Coturnix japonica: one gene and its partners. The protein of the gene in region 1 interacts with the protein of each later gene in a biochemical or structural test. Links are inferred from orthologs where the notes say so. Each region holds a gene or a part of one and is shown in the gene's direction. Other genes may lie near its edges.

Region 1 (3,565 bases):
AATGGAGTCCGTGGGGCTTTTTAAAATAAGTCAGCGGGCCTTTCTGGCCCAGGCCAGAGCACTCCCATTGTTATCATTGTTTTATTTTATTTCTCAAGCTCCGGCTCTGCAGACCCCAAATGCTGCTGATGGAGACGCAGCCCCTTTCTGTGTTAATTTTAAACCCGCTGACAAGCGGTTTGCTTTTCTCCTCACTTCTCACGGTTCCCTCACCCGTTGAAAACCACAGCCGCGGGCTTAGGGGATAAGGTGCCAAGAAGTAGAAAATAAAACCAAATCTGCTGGGTGCTGTGGAGCGAGGGGTGCCCGAATTGGCTTACTGCGAGGACAAACAGGAGACTGCTGAAAGCAAACAACCCTGATAGCATGGGCATGCGTGACGATTACAGCCAATATAATACAAAATGTTAATTACTAAAATTTGAGAAATTAATGCTGATTAGCAGCTGTGTGTGTGACCTAAATACATCTATTCCTTGATCGTTATTCATAATGCACAGTTTGTTGTTGATAAAGTAATTGCTGAATGGTGGGCTGGCCCATGAGTCTCACAGCTAAAGACTGAGGCCTGATCTGTAAATCAGCTGAAATTTGTTGGCGTCTGTTTTGGTTGCATGTACACAGACTGGGACGATGAACAGCAGCCCACGCTATCGCCTTTACAACCAAACTCTTACATATTATTGAGAATTCATATTGCTTTTATTATTTGGTTGCAAAAACAGACCTAATGCTTGTTGGCTTTAAAACACCTACCAGTGCCGCTTTCTCTCTCCATCTTGCAAAATATAAGACAAGGCCAAAGCTTAAATTAAAATCCTCAGGTTCTTATCTCTTTCCCACAGGAAAGCAAATCTGTGTTGAAAACCGTAAAATTAAGAGGAGAGCAAGGATAGCATAATTTAGCAAAAATTCATGGCACCAGATTCTGAGCTATATGACTGGAGGGATAGGTCAGACATTAAGAAGATACTGCCTGCTAATGCAAGTTCCTTAAGGTGGTGCTCTGGAAACAAGGAAAGCAGAAAATGCGGCGCTGCTTCCCATTTGCTCCTTCTTCGTCTGCTCCTACCAGCCTTAACAATAAATTGAGCTGTCCATTGAATAGCCCTCCTGGTTTTAGAAGTCCAGAGAAATCCTTGGTGTGGAGTTGGAGCATTGTCACTACGTCTATTCGTGCCAGGATTTGAATAGTGAGACTCAAAATTAATTTCATTGGGTTCCTAAATGATTTTCTTTTTTTTCTCTTCTGTTAATTCACAGTGCTTGACAGGCTGTCCTCACTGAGATTTATCAGCGGTTTTCTCTGAAGGCCTATTGCTTTTTTTTTTTTTTTCCTTTTTTCTTTTTCTTTCCCTTCTTTTTTTATTTTATTAAAAATCTGTTTGTGGCATAATTGTTTTAGCCAAGGGGAAGGGTGGCAGGATGGAAATGAGGAGTGCCTCTCAGTGCTGGGATCGTCGCTGCGGTTCATCCTGCTGTGGGAACAGCGACTTTTGTCTCATGCAGCACTACCGCAGAAGCACCGCGTTGGCATGGAGGAGCCCCACTGCCTTGCGGGCTTGATTCACGAGGGTGGTTTGTGGGAACATCGGCTGGCAATACCCGCCTTCGGGGCCCCACTGGGTGTTTTCAGCGCTTTGGTCCCTCCCTGGGTGAGGTGGCAAAGCTTTGCAGCTGTCCCCGGGGTGGTCAGCAGTCTCCTTCCCAGATATCCTCTCCAGAAACGTCACTGCCAACCTCTCTTAGCTTCGGTCGTACCAATATGTAGAAACTGTATTTTGGAAGCCACACATCGCTAATGCTGTTTTCCCTTCTCTTGCAGTCCAACAAGGTGCCAGTGGTACAGCCTTCTCACGCAGTTCACCCCCTCACCCCCCTTATCACCTACAGCGATGAGCACTTTTCCCCAGGCTCCCATCCATCTCACATCCCCTCCGACGTCAGCTCCAAGCAAGGTGAGCCCACGCTGCTGGGGGGCTTTGCTTTTCATGTTTCAGAGGGAGGGTTCCCACCATGCGTGCCCACTTTCCGCTCTGCCACGATGCTGGTATTTTGCTTGGCTGTTTAAATCTTTGTGCTCTTCCTAATGTGATAATTCTGGCTTGTTTTACTCGTCAGAGCCTTTTAAAATCTCAATAAGCAGCAACCAGTCCTCACCACCCCCTGTTGTGCCTGAGGCTTGCAGCATGCAGACACAGAAACAGCAGTCATCCCTCACTATCCCGAAAACTGGGAAAAAGCACTTTGGTTCAGCTCTTATCAAAACCTTTTCTTTTTTTAAATCAAAATTGCATTTTGTGATTTTGTGTTCTTCTTTATAATAATTGGCATAACTGTAGTCTAACCACCATCACCCAAAGAGAGGCTGTTTTAGTTCTGACTTTCCCTGGATGCCTTGTTTTAGTGTTGGCCTTGCTATGCTGATAATAACATGGGCTACCTCCAGAAAATACCATAGACATGTGGTTATTTTCCTTTACTCCAGCCTGCAGATGCATGTATAATTCTTTTTTCAGAGAAGATGAAGCAAATGGAAACCTCATGTCCTTATTTGTCTTCCTTCTTCGTGTGAGTGCCCAGGAGGAGGACACTGGTGGTCGTTCCTTGAAGCCTCGTGGGTGCTGTGTGTGTTAGACTATGGGATTTGCACCCTGCAGCTGCAGCTTGTGAGCACAGGAGGTTTTGACTTATTGAACGATGGGGCATAATTTTCCTCCTCATCTCCTGCAGACCCAACCAGGAGGCCTCATTTGTGCTTACTGACTGTCCTCCTTTTCTGCCTTGTTTTGCTCTCTCTCTGCCCAGCCCATCTCTCATGTAGAGCTCTAATATTTCCAAACAGGCTCTTGATTCCTCCTCTTAACGTCTGGCAAAGATGCCGACGGACAATGCAGGCCGGAGGCTTCTGCTTTTTCCTTTTTTTTTTTGCTGCGATGGTCTTCTTGATGTGTGTGGTCTTCCCATGCTCCCATCCCAGCACCACCAGTGTGTCACAGCAGCCGCAGTGAAGTGGTCCATGCTGTTGCTGCTGAGGGAATATTTTCCCTCAGGTCCTCTGCCAGATGCCTCCAACCATTGTTTCTGTCCTCGCCTCCCAGTGTGGGGCTGGAGCAAGACACTGCCTCACTGCCCCAGCCCCATTGCTGGGGGTCCCACAGCGTCTCGCCCCCAGCATCACCTCTCTCACCATGGGTACCTCTTGATGGACACATGGCTACCACCTTTCCATAGGCAGTTTATTCTTCCCTTTTGTCTTTCTTACTTTTAACACTCCTGAGAGCAAATGTGGCTTCAGATAGTGTTGGCTGCTTCACATTTTCCTCCTGGGCATCAGGTAGCTGGTGTTTCTCCATAAGAGGCCTGAAGTTTTGTCCCCCACACCAGAGAGCACAGCATCCTCACTGTGGGTCAGAAATGTGCATTTTGGGGAAGGAACAGCAGCCCAGCTCTTTACACACAGCTTGATTGGGTAGGGGCAAGGTCATGTCACTGCTCCTCAGGAGCATCAGCTGTCACCAAAGATGGGAGCTTCTTCTTTTTCTGACCACTTGGAAAGAGCATT
Region 2 (3,565 bases), on another chromosome or scaffold:
ATCACAAATCAGATGTGTTTTGTTGCGAAAGCATTTCATATTCAGTTTTCCTGTAAAGTCAATTTAAACGGGGGGGAAAAATGTCGCACAGATTCTTTAAAAATTATCAATGAAACGAAGGTGTTCCATGTTGGGACATTGTTCCTTCTGTGCCCACATAGACATCTGTGTTCTCCTTCTGACTCATGGGTCAGAATTGCTGCTGTGCTGGCAGCCAGGGCTCAGGCACTCTGAGGCGGTGCATGTGCTCACAGGGACTTCTTAGGCCTGTGGAATTATGCAGGTGTGCTGTATAGCAATGCTGAATACCAAGACAGATTTCTATACACTGATTTGCTGTGCGATCCAATTGTGGAAAAGTCAGTCTGCTTTCTTAACCCTTCTGGTTAAGGAAACTTTTAAAAATCCCCCGAACTGGGGTGCGACAAGGCTGAATCTGCAACGTTTTGGAGGCATCCCATGAACAAATGAGATCTAGCTTGGGATATTCTGAACCCAGGGTTTACTTCGAGTGCTTGTTTTTGTGTGTGTGCTTTCAGACTGAGTCCTGCAAAGCCAACTAAAAATATACTGAGATTTCAAATAAAATGGTGGGAAGTTTAAATGGATACGGAACAAAGTAACAACTTCTACCTATTCCCTCTTCCCTTGGCTTGTGCAGTTATGGATTATCCGATTCATTTAAATGCTGGCTTGGAATGACATGCTCCGTTACCACCAGGCTGCCTATTTGAAGCGCATTAAGTGTTTTGGTTATTTTAATTTTTTTATTTACCTTCTCAATTTAGATTTGTGATTTTGGATTGGCCAGGGTGGAAGAATTAGATGAATCTCGTCACATGACTCAGGAAGTTGTCACTCAGTATTATCGAGCTCCAGAAATCCTGATGGGCAGCCGCCACTACAGCAATGCTATTGACATCTGGTCTGTAGGCTGCATCTTTGCAGAACTGCTCGGGCGAAGAATATTGTTTCAGGCACAGAGTCCCATTCAGCAGGTATCATTAAACTTCCCTCTAAAACAGTTTGATGGAGTTAGTTATACCGATGCATTTTGAATCTTGAACTTCCTTTTGTTTTGCTTAGTTTACTCATGGGCAGGAAACCAAACTCTTTGTAACACTGAAGCGATGGTTTCCAGATGTTGTTAAAAGTAGTAATAATTGTCATTAGCTTTTGAAATTTGTGATTTTTTTTTTTATTCCCTTTAATCTGCTGCAGTACCAACGTTTACTGTGGCATTTTAAAGTGATGTAAATGGGATCAATATTTTTCTGACTATGAATAAGAGAAAGTAACGTTCCCATCAGTGTATAACAGTATTGTATTTGAGTTGTGGGGCTGATGGACCTGGTGGTGCCTCACAGAGCAGTGCTTCTGCCTGGGAGTGGAGCTGAGATGGAGAGAAGCCACCAAGTGTAGCAACACGTTTGGTGTACAGACAGTAATCACATTTCTCACTTTGATGCCAGCAGTCAATGAGTGATTTTCATGCCTGTGTAATGATGGTAATGGCTTTAATGGGTTTAGTCTCAGAGGGGGGCTGGGCAATTGCTTGTTAGCATGAGTGGATGGTGGTCATGAGGGAACCCTTGGAACCAAGGAGCTGAGCTCTCTACTGGCAGGATTTATTGGTTGTTTGCTTTTTAACTTTGACTCCTACAGGATGTTTTTGTTTTCATTCACAATAGGAACATATACATTCGCTTCTGCAAAAATACAGTGAAAGCACTGGTTCACGTGTTAGTTTAGCTCCAGAATCTGCTATCATAGTGAAACATATTAATATATACCTGAAATCCCAATTGTGTATGTTCTGTACCTGCAGCTGGATCTGATCACAGACCTGCTGGGAACGCCCTCACTGGAGGCAATGAGGACAGCGTGCGAAGGCGCCAAGGCACACATACTCAGGGGTCCTCACAAACAGGTACAGGCTGCACTTGGCCTTCGTGGCATAGCATTTCCTCTGTGTAGATACTACTGCTGTCTCATTCCTGTGTTTCACATCTCAGTTGAATTCTCAGGCTGGAGCACGGACATTCATAAATACTTTGTTTGATATCTAATTTCAAAGTTGTCTCTGCTTGTGAACTGAGTTACTAAGTTCACTGACGGTGGTTCTGGTTAATAGTGCAGTTATTCAATCTCCTGTGCAAATGAGATGTTTTCTCTGTTGTCAAGTGCATCTCTGATGAATCCCATTTATATTGTTTGAATTGCCGATACAGGTGAACATCGCTCCTGTTTTTGAGGAGATGATGTTTTGATAGCTATTCTGAATGAAGTTGTTAATTTAAGCGATAATGTTGGGAAGAGACAAATTAAATTGGCAATACAGTTCAGAAAGCCCCAGAGGGACAACTTTACAGACAGGATAGAGAGTGTTAGAAGAGGAAACTGCCCATTATCAGGATCAGTAAGCAGAATGGTCAAGCAGATCCTCAGCAGAGGTCCCCTCAGACAGCCGTGCAATGACCTGAGCTGTTTGTGAAAGGTTTAAGATGACACAGAAAGCTGAGGTGCAATGTTCAACATAACTGGTGTAAAAGTTAATAAAAATCCAAACCAGGGAAAAGAGATGAGATGAGATGATACCATTATGCCACCTGGAAAACAAAATTAGCTAATGTAAAGTACGGATGCAAAGAAATGCCTAAGCAGGAATCCCTAACAGTGGTAAAGCATTATGCCCGCCCAGTGTAGCCAATTTTGTGATTGTTAGATAGTAAAAAATGAACAAGATGAGTAACCAGTACATGTTAATACATCAGGTCTTTCCAGTAGAGTTTGCATATTTATTTTCTCCATATAGAAGTAATTTCTCAAATGTCAACTCACCACAATGGTAGTTACCATAGAAATGAGCACTGAATATATCTTGTGCTGTATTATTAACGTGCGAGTTGTACCTCCTAGGCAGCCTTGATTCCCTACATTGTGGTACGCGCTCTTTCTTTTAATGTTAATAATAGGAGGATTTCCTTAAGACTTTCTCTCCCAGTTCTCAAACAAATGAAGTCTAATTGTGTTCATTAGCACACACTAAGAATTGCATATTTTAAGCTTCTTGTCTTGTGCTCCCAACATTTCAGTTGTTTCAATGCACTTTGTGTACAGCTGTGTAATGCAGTGTACAAATGCAGTGCACAACTGCATCCAGGTGCTTTATGGAATATGTTGTTTTTAAATTCTGATGGTTTGATAATTGCTTGGCATTCCTGCAGTGCAGTACTTGTGCCTTTGGTAGGGCAGGCAAGAACTCCAGTATTGATTTGTTCTGTTTGTTAAACCTAAATGCTTTATTAGGAATTAAAAAGGGAAGAGGAAATTTTTTTGTTTTATTTTATGTTTTGTAATCCCAGTGCTGAAGTTGTTCTCTACAAGCCACTGAAACCATTGTTTTATCTATTGAATTATGGGAATGCCAAAAAGCAAGCAGGTGAAATGCTATAAAGTATTTCTGATATGGCCAATACACCAATCTATCTATAGGAGCTAAACTGTAAGCTGCAGTCTGTGTCTACTGTTACCTCTGAGCAGCACTGCTTCATGGAGTGTCTAT
Region 3 (4,309 bases), on another chromosome or scaffold:
TTCTGTTTGAAAACTGCATAGGGTAATTACAGTACCATGGCAAAATACTGCCTTGAATCAAACACAGCTCTTTAGAACATGCTTGGTCTAATTTTGGCCTATCTTTCTCTGGCATTGTGTACTCCCATGAGTAAGGATGTTAGGTTTTCTGGAAATATTCCAGATTTACACTTATCTAACAAAAATTATTATTTTTTGTGCTTCCATCAGCTAATGATGCCAAAGTACAAATTAGTTAATTATCAGATAGTGTTGATTATTGTTGACAGTTGCCCACACTTGGAAGAAAAGGAAATAGTACCATTGGTACCAAACTCTTGCAGCTTTTTTGTCTTGTTTATGATGGAGAAGATTCAAAATGCTCCTAAATGACTGATTCTAGGATCGAAGGTGGTAAAACGCACTTGTTAAAAGAAATCAGGAAAATTGAGCTTTTCTTCTCTGTTATAACATGCCTTGGACATTTTAATGATGACAAATAAAGACTACAAGACATTTCAACTTCCATGGAGGTGGGCAATTATAAAGCAAAACAAAACAAAAACCCTTTTGTTTATGTTCCAAAGCACAGTGTTGTTTTAATATCATATCTGTTAATATCTCATTAACAACTTGTGCCAGCAAGTGAAGCACAGTACAACCAAAGTTAGGCAAGTGCTATGTTATTACAGACTCCAAAGCTGCTAGATACGCAAAGTATATAATAATGGCCTGCATATTTATGGTAGCTTTCATCTTAGGATCTGAGTACTTCATAAGTATTAATTAATTAAGCTTTCCAATGCCATGAGCAGAGTGGTGAACTGGCTTGTCCAAGGCAACAGGGGAAGAGCTGAGAAAAGAACTCAGGAGGAGGAGCTCCAATTATGCACGCGGAGCACCAAACAGGTTTATATTCCCACCTTCGGAAATACCACCTCACAGTAAAGGCATTTTCATTCTTTTCTGAAAAACAGTGAAGAACAGTCCTCGTGTACCTGTACGTATTTATGTATTCACAAATGTGCGTGCTTATGCACATAATCTAAACACACCCATGCACACACACTGGTGTCCACAGGCCCACGAGGCCAGCAGAACACGGGCAGGTGATGCAGAGCCCTGCTCCCAGAGCCCAGCAGCTTCAGTGGGTGTGCGGGTATTCAGTCTGAGGGCTCTGAGCAGTTCCACGTCCTTTTCCTTTGGCCATTCTGATACAGAACTGTGCACAGCGCAGCACTGCACGAGTTCCTACCCCGGTACCGCCTCAAGTCAGGTTTCCTAACTCCAAACTTCGTGTTCCTTACACAGCCCTAAGTACCAATGAGGGGCAACGCCACAGCGCGTACCCCAGCCACCCCGTATAGCGCTGGGAGACACCCTCCAGCCGCGCGACGCCTCACCAAACCCCTACTCCAGACCTCCGCACCGCCCCCTGCCCCTGGCGGACAGCAGGCCCGCTACGCCCTGCCTTCCTGCCCCCCGGCACCACCGACCCCATGCGCGCAGGCGCCGCGTGCTGGGCGAGAAGCAACCCCACCTCCCCGCCCGACCGGCCGGTAGCACCACGTTACTTTGAATGACAGCTCAGCCTCCCCGCTCCCCTTCCCACAGACCTTACTCTCCTCCCTGCACTCCACGCCCTCCCATTGGCTGGCAAGAAGGGCTCCCGCCGCTCCGCCAGAAACGCTTTCCAGCGAAAGGCTGACAGGCAGACGGAGCCGCGCTCGTTCCATTGGCCCTCGGCGCCGGACGCGTCACGCACCCACGTTGTTGCGGAGGCAGGCGACTGGCTACTACCGCCATCTCTCCCCCCTCGCTGAGGGCTGTGGGAGGGGTTGGGTGGCTGGTTAGCTGGAGGAGTGTGAAACCGCGTGTTAATGCATACGGTGCGGCGAGCACGGCGCGTCCCGCCCGGCCCGGCTGTTCCCGTCCCGCCGAGCGCATCCCGCGGGTCTGCAGCGCTCCGTTCCCCCGCGCGGAGCAGGGCACGGCACGGCCGCGCTCCTCGACAGGTCGGAACTTCACCTCGGTGGGGCAGCGCCAGGCAGTGGAGAGTGACGGCGAGGAGAAGGACGAGAATGGGGAGGAGATCGCGATGCACCGCGTGCTGCTGAGGCGCGGAGCCGCTCGGTGCCGGAGGCTGTCGCCCGCCTGACCCCGCGCGGAACGGGCGCTCTCCGCCCTTTGTTGTGGTGTCTCCGTCGCCGCGGGGCCGCCTCGCGCCCGCCCCCCGCGGAGCTCCGCTCCGGCTGCCCCATGCGCCGCCGGCGGTCGGGAGCAGCGAGGCCGCCCCCGGAGGCTTCCCGCCCGCCCCCCTCGCTGTGACGGCCGCGCCCGGAGCCCCCTAGAGAGCCGCTCGCCCTCACGACTTGCGTCGCCTGTCCCGTGTCACGGAGTTGCAGCGACAGAGCGGCCACAGCCGGAGGATGTCCCCGCGGCGGAAGCACTGAGCGCCGCGGGGCGGTGTGAGGCACGTTCGGAGCCATGTTCCCGCAGAGCCGGCACCCCGTGAGTACGGCGACGGGCAGAACCAGCCCTGCGTGCGGCGGTCACTTTCCGCCTCGATGCGCGGGGAGCGGCGGGGAAGAGCGTGGCCGCCCCGCGACGGGAGGAAAAGCGCTGGGGCCGGGGTCGCGGCAGGGACGGGGAGGGCGGCGGGATGGACCCTCGCTGCGTCCCGCCCCGTCCGCGCGGTCTGACCGTGCTTCTCTTTCCCGGTCCGTTCGTCGCAGGCGCCTCACCAGGCTGCGGGGCAGCCCTTCAAATTCACCATCCCGGAGTCGCTGGATCGCATCAAGGAGGAGTTCCAGTTCCTGCAGGCGCAGTACCACAGGTGAGCGGCGGTGGGGTCGCACCGGGGGCGCTCGGATCCGCTCTTCCCGCCTGGGGCTGCAGCGAGAGGCCGCGTCCAGGCGGTGGCGTGCGGGGCCAGGGCAGTGTGGGGCCCTCGGGCGGGAGCGCGGCTGGAGGCGGCCGGGCCGGGGTGTGGGGTGTGGGTGTTGCGGGAGGAGAATGTCGTGGCACGGAAGGCTGAGGAAGAGCCCTCCTCCGTTACGTGAGGTGTTCGTGCTAAGGTGAATCCGACGCCGGTGCGCAGTGCTAAAAGAGTCGAGAGGATGGCAGCTTTGTAGCGTAATGTTAGCGTCCATCTGCTGAAGCCGTGAAGGGCGCTCCGTTGCGCTGCGCTGCGTGGTGCTTTGGTGCTGGGAGTCCCGTACGGAACGGATTCCTGCGTGCAGAGGATGTTCGGCAATAAGAGGCACTTGTCTCTCGATTCTGTACTCCCTTGCACCTGAGCTGTCAGGATAGGAATAAAAGCTCTGTTAATTTCTGTACAGAAATTCATCCGACTGTGGCTGAGGCTCCTTTTTCTCACCACACCACTGTCTGATTCTCACTTGAGATTGCTGACTTGCCCGAGCCATTGGTTACTTAGAAATGCAGTATAAGCTGTGATCATTCAGTATTGCAGCTGTAAGTGAAAAAGGCTGCTTTCCACAGCATCTGTTCCATCGGATGCTTTCTGGTGGCCCTAAAGAAAACAAAGGGAATGTTGCTGCTTTTCTTTGCTCAGTCAGAGTCGTTAAAGTGATGCTGCTGCTTGTGATGAGACAGACAACTTTTCTGAAAACAGACTTGCTAGCAAATGGCGGTCAGAGTTACCGCTGTCCAGCTGCAGGCAAGATAACCCAAGCTGGAGGCGCCTTGAGGTTAGTAGGTAGGCCCAAGATGTAATTCTAACCACAAATGATGCTGTTTGGCTGTGACTCGGAATGTCACATGTGAAGAAATACTTCTGGCTGCTCAGAGGAACTCTGGGGGATGTCTGATCCTGTTGCAGCCCAACAGCCAATGTCCTTTGCCCTGTTTGTGTGGCTCTGGTGGCAGCTGCAGCTCTCAGTCAGCACCACAAAATACCTTCTGAATTTCCTTCTCAACTCTTGTGTTTGAAGTATGAATTAGACCTTTTTCTCTCTGTTTGCGTGTGAGTTATGAGGTTTTATAATTACTTGTTTTTGTCAAAATACAAATAAAGTGGGTAGATGTCAAAACAAATGACATAGTAGTTACACTGAAGTGTGATCTATTTTGTAGCCTTAAATTGGAATGTGAGAAACTGGCAAGTGAGAAGACAGAAATGCAGAGGCACTATGTGATGGTAAGTTTGCTTCTTTTTCTTTATTTCAGTTAATAGTTTATAATACAATGCAAGCCAATATAAAAAAAAATAATGTGTTCCTTTATTTGCAGTATTATGAAATGTCATATGGATTAAACATTGAAATGCACAAGCAGGTAAGGCATTTTGTTTTCTAAATCACAGAAG
Region 4 (3,565 bases), on another chromosome or scaffold:
AAGAAAGGGCTGGAAGGTGCTGGCACTGGACTCGGTGACCTTCAGTGGTCCTTATGGGTCCCTTCCAACTTCGGATGTTATATGACTGTGGGCAGTAACAGGGCAGTGTGGATGAAGGTATATCCAGGTTGTGCCTTAGCCTGTTGTCAGCTGTTCCTAAACTGGGAAACCTCTTCCAGCTGTATGGTAAGCTGGAGTTAATGTGGAGGTTGAGGGAGGCTGAAGAAGTGGCCCAGCACCTTGAAATCCTCCTCCTGAGCTGCAGGTCCTCTGTGGAGCTGGGTGATGGGCAGCCGTGGCTCTAGGCTGAGAACAGGGCAGTGCAGCCCTGTAGCTTTGCCCAGTGTACCCCATGGCTGGTGGGTGTGTGGTTGGCTTGTGGGGTTTATTCGGTCGTTTCCTACTCTGTACTTAAAAACTTTTAACCTTAGCGCTAAAGAAAAATACCATTGTCTATTAGTATGACTGGAACGAAAGATGAATTGCGAGTTAGCCTTGAGCGAACTGTCAATCTGACTTTGATAGCCCATCACTTAAAAGGTCCTTTTATGTTTATGAAAAAGCATGACGTCAAAGCCAGGGGAAAAAATACCAATACTTAGGGCTAAACTTGCACGGCTCCAAGAAGAGCCCTTGTGAACTGTTTGTTTCTCTACATGCGTAGCTAATTACCGTAGGTTACTATAAGTCTGGGCAGTGGCATTCAAGTGCTTCTGGTTTGGGGCAGCTTTTTCCATGGTGCTTCCATGCATGAGTCTCTGACTGGAGTAGCATAAAGGAAAGGATACTGCAGTCACTTCTCTCACAACTGTATGAGTATTATGCTGGAAATGCTTGAGTATAATCATTATCAGGTGAGTTGTTATTTGCAGACTTACTTTAAAACCTGCTGCTAGGAAGGCTTAAATATACAGGAAATCCCTTTCCTCTGATGTCTAGTATGCTTTATTATAATTTCTTCCACAAAAATGAATGGGGACGTACATGGTCAGATGTAACGGCGAGAGAAGTTGCTTTAATAGAACTTTTCAAAACAAAAAACATTTCAGAGAACTATTATATCTCAGTTTCTCAACCTTTCAATACAGACATTAATGATGCAAGATACATGATAGTGTTTCCAAGATACAGTGAAATTTTTGCATGAAAAATAAAAGATCTTTCTTCTCTTGCTTACTTAAGGTGAACGAGAGTAGTTCAGTGTGATGGATATGTTTTCAAATATATATGAAATATTGCGCTTTATTCAGCCTGTGACACTTCTTGTCTTGCACTGTATTTGTTTAATGTGCTGTTAAACAGAATGTCTTATTTGATTTGATTAGGCCACGTATCTGAGATATGACTAATCTGGAGGCAAAAAGGTGGCATATTCTTCTTTTTTCTAAATAATTCATTTGATATTTAAAAAAATGTAACGTAAACTAAAGAATGTAATTTCTTCTTTAGTACCAGTCTGGTAAGAGACGGGAACTGATCAAATTTGGTTTTAGTTGGTGGCTATCAATGAGTAAAGCGAGTTCTGCTCTGCTACTTATTTTTCCATATTTGTGTAAAAATAAAGCATCACATATCTGAAGGTCTAAACAGGGGAGTGCCATTCTGGACTATCTGCGTAAACTGGAGAGGCCAAGCATGGATTTTAAGTGATAAATCTTGTTACGTAGAAGAGTAATGAGAACTTGTTGGTTTACCGTTAAGAAAGTTATTGAAACATTATCTCATAAACTCATTCTTTGCCACTGAATGTGAATTAGCAAAGTGCTGAGTTCCTCGGCACAGCGCAGGTTTGTACTTTGAGTCAAATGCTCCTGGGCTGGTGTGTGTCACAAACATATAGCCCAGCTTGGTTCTATATGCAATTACGCTGTAAAACAATAAAGCTCTCTTAACTCCTGTCATACAGGTGCAGACTCACCTTGAGAATCCAACCAAGTACCATATTCAGCAAGCCCAGCGGCAGCAGGTAAAGCAGTACCTCTCTACCACTCTAGCAAATAAACATGCCAACCAAGCCCTGAGCTTGCCATGTCCAAACCAGCCCGGTGATCATGTCATGCCCCCTGGAACTGGAAGCAGTGCACCCAACAGTCCAATGGCTATGCTCACCCTCAACTCCAACTGTGAGAAAGAGGTAATATGCTCTCATTGTGTATATTCTTCATTGAAATGAAATCTCATTCTGCCTTCTTTCTGTTTCAAACTGTGTTTGCTCATCGTTAAGTTATGTTTGGCGTATTTTCTGAACCGTGTCCCTTGAAAATGCAATTACTACTTCCCTGTCTCCCTAACGAATATATTTGTATACAACAATTGGGCACAAAAACTGTCTGTAACTTCCTCCTCTGTGAACTATTTTACCCAGTTTATGCTTATTAAAACTTCAATCTTTTTCTTCTCACTTGCTCAATGCACACAGTGAATAATTGACCTTTGGAAGAGTACAAAGCAGTTTTGTAAGCTGCAGCTTTCTGGAATAATGTTATTTATGGCTCATTCAGTATAAAGGGAACAAAGAGCATAACAAATAGTAACTGAAAAAATCAGATATTTTTTTCTCTGTGTGAAATATTTTAAAAGATTTTAGAAATTCTTGCAGTAAAACCTGAACAAGTCTCTTGTGTGGCTGGAATACCAGATGATCTCAGCTAACATGTCAGATCAGATGTTACTAATTTGCTGTTTTGGTGCTCAATGCTGCTTATATGAGACTTCTCTAGCCTATGTACAGAAGTCATTTTCCATCTTAATCTTTGCTGGCGAAAACTTAGATGCATGTTTTATGCATTCAGGTGTGGAAGGAAGATTACGTGAAAGATAACGGCAGTTACACGAATCATGTTAATAACTTTGCATCTTGACAAATCATAGAGAACTGTAGAGCTGCCCTTGTCCTCTGGCCTTTATGCCAGAGTTTTAATACAGATGCACTCTGCGCTAAAGGAAAGCATTATCCGGCTTAGAAAAACAGTGATTGCAAAATTGCTTTCACGCATACAAGAGAATGTACTTGTGCTCCATAGCTTCAAAAGAGGTGAAAATCCAAGTTCCATCTCAGTTGCACCCAAATACGTATATATTTTTTCCTCAAGTTATTTACAGCTTTGCTTTACTGTGTCATCAGGCCCATGTGTGCATGACAACATTGAAATATGGTGCTCTTTTTGGGACTGAGGCTGTGCCATGAACTCAGATCCATGCTTTGCTTTTTTCTTTTTTCTTTTTTCTTTTTTTTTTTTTTTCTTCTTTTTTTCCTTTTTATTTCTGCAGGGATTTTATAAATTTGAAGAGCAAAGCAGGGTCGAGAGTGAGTGCCCGGCTCTGAATACCCACTCACGAGCATCATGCATGCAGGTACTGGATGACACAGGACTTGGAGCACTGAAGACTTTATGATGAGAATATTTATTTGAAGTGATAATAAACACTAAACTTGCCCAGTAATGTTCTTAAGAAGTTGAATGTAAAACAACAAAAAACATTCTTAAATCATAAATCTGCTGAATCCTTACATATTAGCATCAACAACCTGAAAAAGCTTATCATTTTCTATAACGTTAGTGCT

What was found.
Region 2: of the proteins of LEF1 (region 1) and NLK, one has a biochemical effect on the other in vitro, tested with the Homo sapiens proteins (4 studies listed by BioGRID). The link is inferred for Coturnix japonica from reciprocal best matches to the Homo sapiens genes LEF1 and NLK.
Region 3: the proteins of LEF1 (region 1) and TLE1 form a complex in vitro, tested with the Homo sapiens proteins (2 studies listed by BioGRID and IntAct, with this or other methods). The link is inferred for Coturnix japonica from reciprocal best matches to the Homo sapiens genes LEF1 and TLE1.
Region 4: the proteins of LEF1 (region 1) and MITF form a complex in vitro, tested with the Homo sapiens proteins (2 studies listed by BioGRID). The link is inferred for Coturnix japonica from reciprocal best matches to the Homo sapiens genes LEF1 and MITF.

Annotation. Positions count from the first base shown.
Region 1 is NC_029519.1:33,552,747-33,556,311, forward strand, and holds part of LEF1 (lymphoid enhancer-binding factor 1), read left to right. Parts: intron 1-1,825; coding exon 1,826-1,958; intron 1,959-3,565. UniProt on the Homo sapiens protein: Transcription factor that binds DNA in a sequence-specific manner. Participates in the Wnt signaling pathway. Activates transcription of target genes in the presence of CTNNB1 and EP300.
Region 2 is NC_029534.1:8,031,303-8,034,867, forward strand, and holds part of NLK (serine/threonine-protein kinase NLK), read left to right. Parts: intron 1-788; coding exon 789-998; intron 999-1,828; coding exon 1,829-1,930; intron 1,931-3,565. UniProt on the Homo sapiens protein: Serine/threonine-protein kinase that regulates a number of transcription factors with key roles in cell fate determination. Positive effector of the non-canonical Wnt signaling pathway, acting downstream of WNT5A, MAP3K7/TAK1 and HIPK2.
Region 3 is NC_029547.1:35,490,862-35,495,170, reverse strand, and holds the start of TLE1 (transducin-like enhancer protein 1), read left to right. Parts: upstream 1-1,479; 5' UTR 1,480-2,466; coding exon 2,467-2,490; intron 2,491-2,714; coding exon 2,715-2,815; intron 2,816-4,077; coding exon 4,078-4,141; intron 4,142-4,233; coding exon 4,234-4,278; intron 4,279-4,309. UniProt on the Homo sapiens protein: Transcriptional corepressor that binds to a number of transcription factors. Inhibits NF-kappa-B-regulated gene expression. Inhibits the transcriptional activation mediated by FOXA2, and by CTNNB1 and TCF family members in Wnt signaling.
Region 4 is NC_029527.1:12,968,784-12,972,348, forward strand, and holds part of MITF (microphthalmia-associated transcription factor), read left to right. Parts: intron 1-747; exon of another isoform or gene 748-812; coding exon of another isoform or gene 813-854; intron 855-1,906; coding exon 1,907-2,134; intron 2,135-3,270; coding exon 3,271-3,354; intron 3,355-3,565. UniProt on the Homo sapiens protein: Transcription factor that acts as a master regulator of melanocyte survival and differentiation as well as melanosome biogenesis.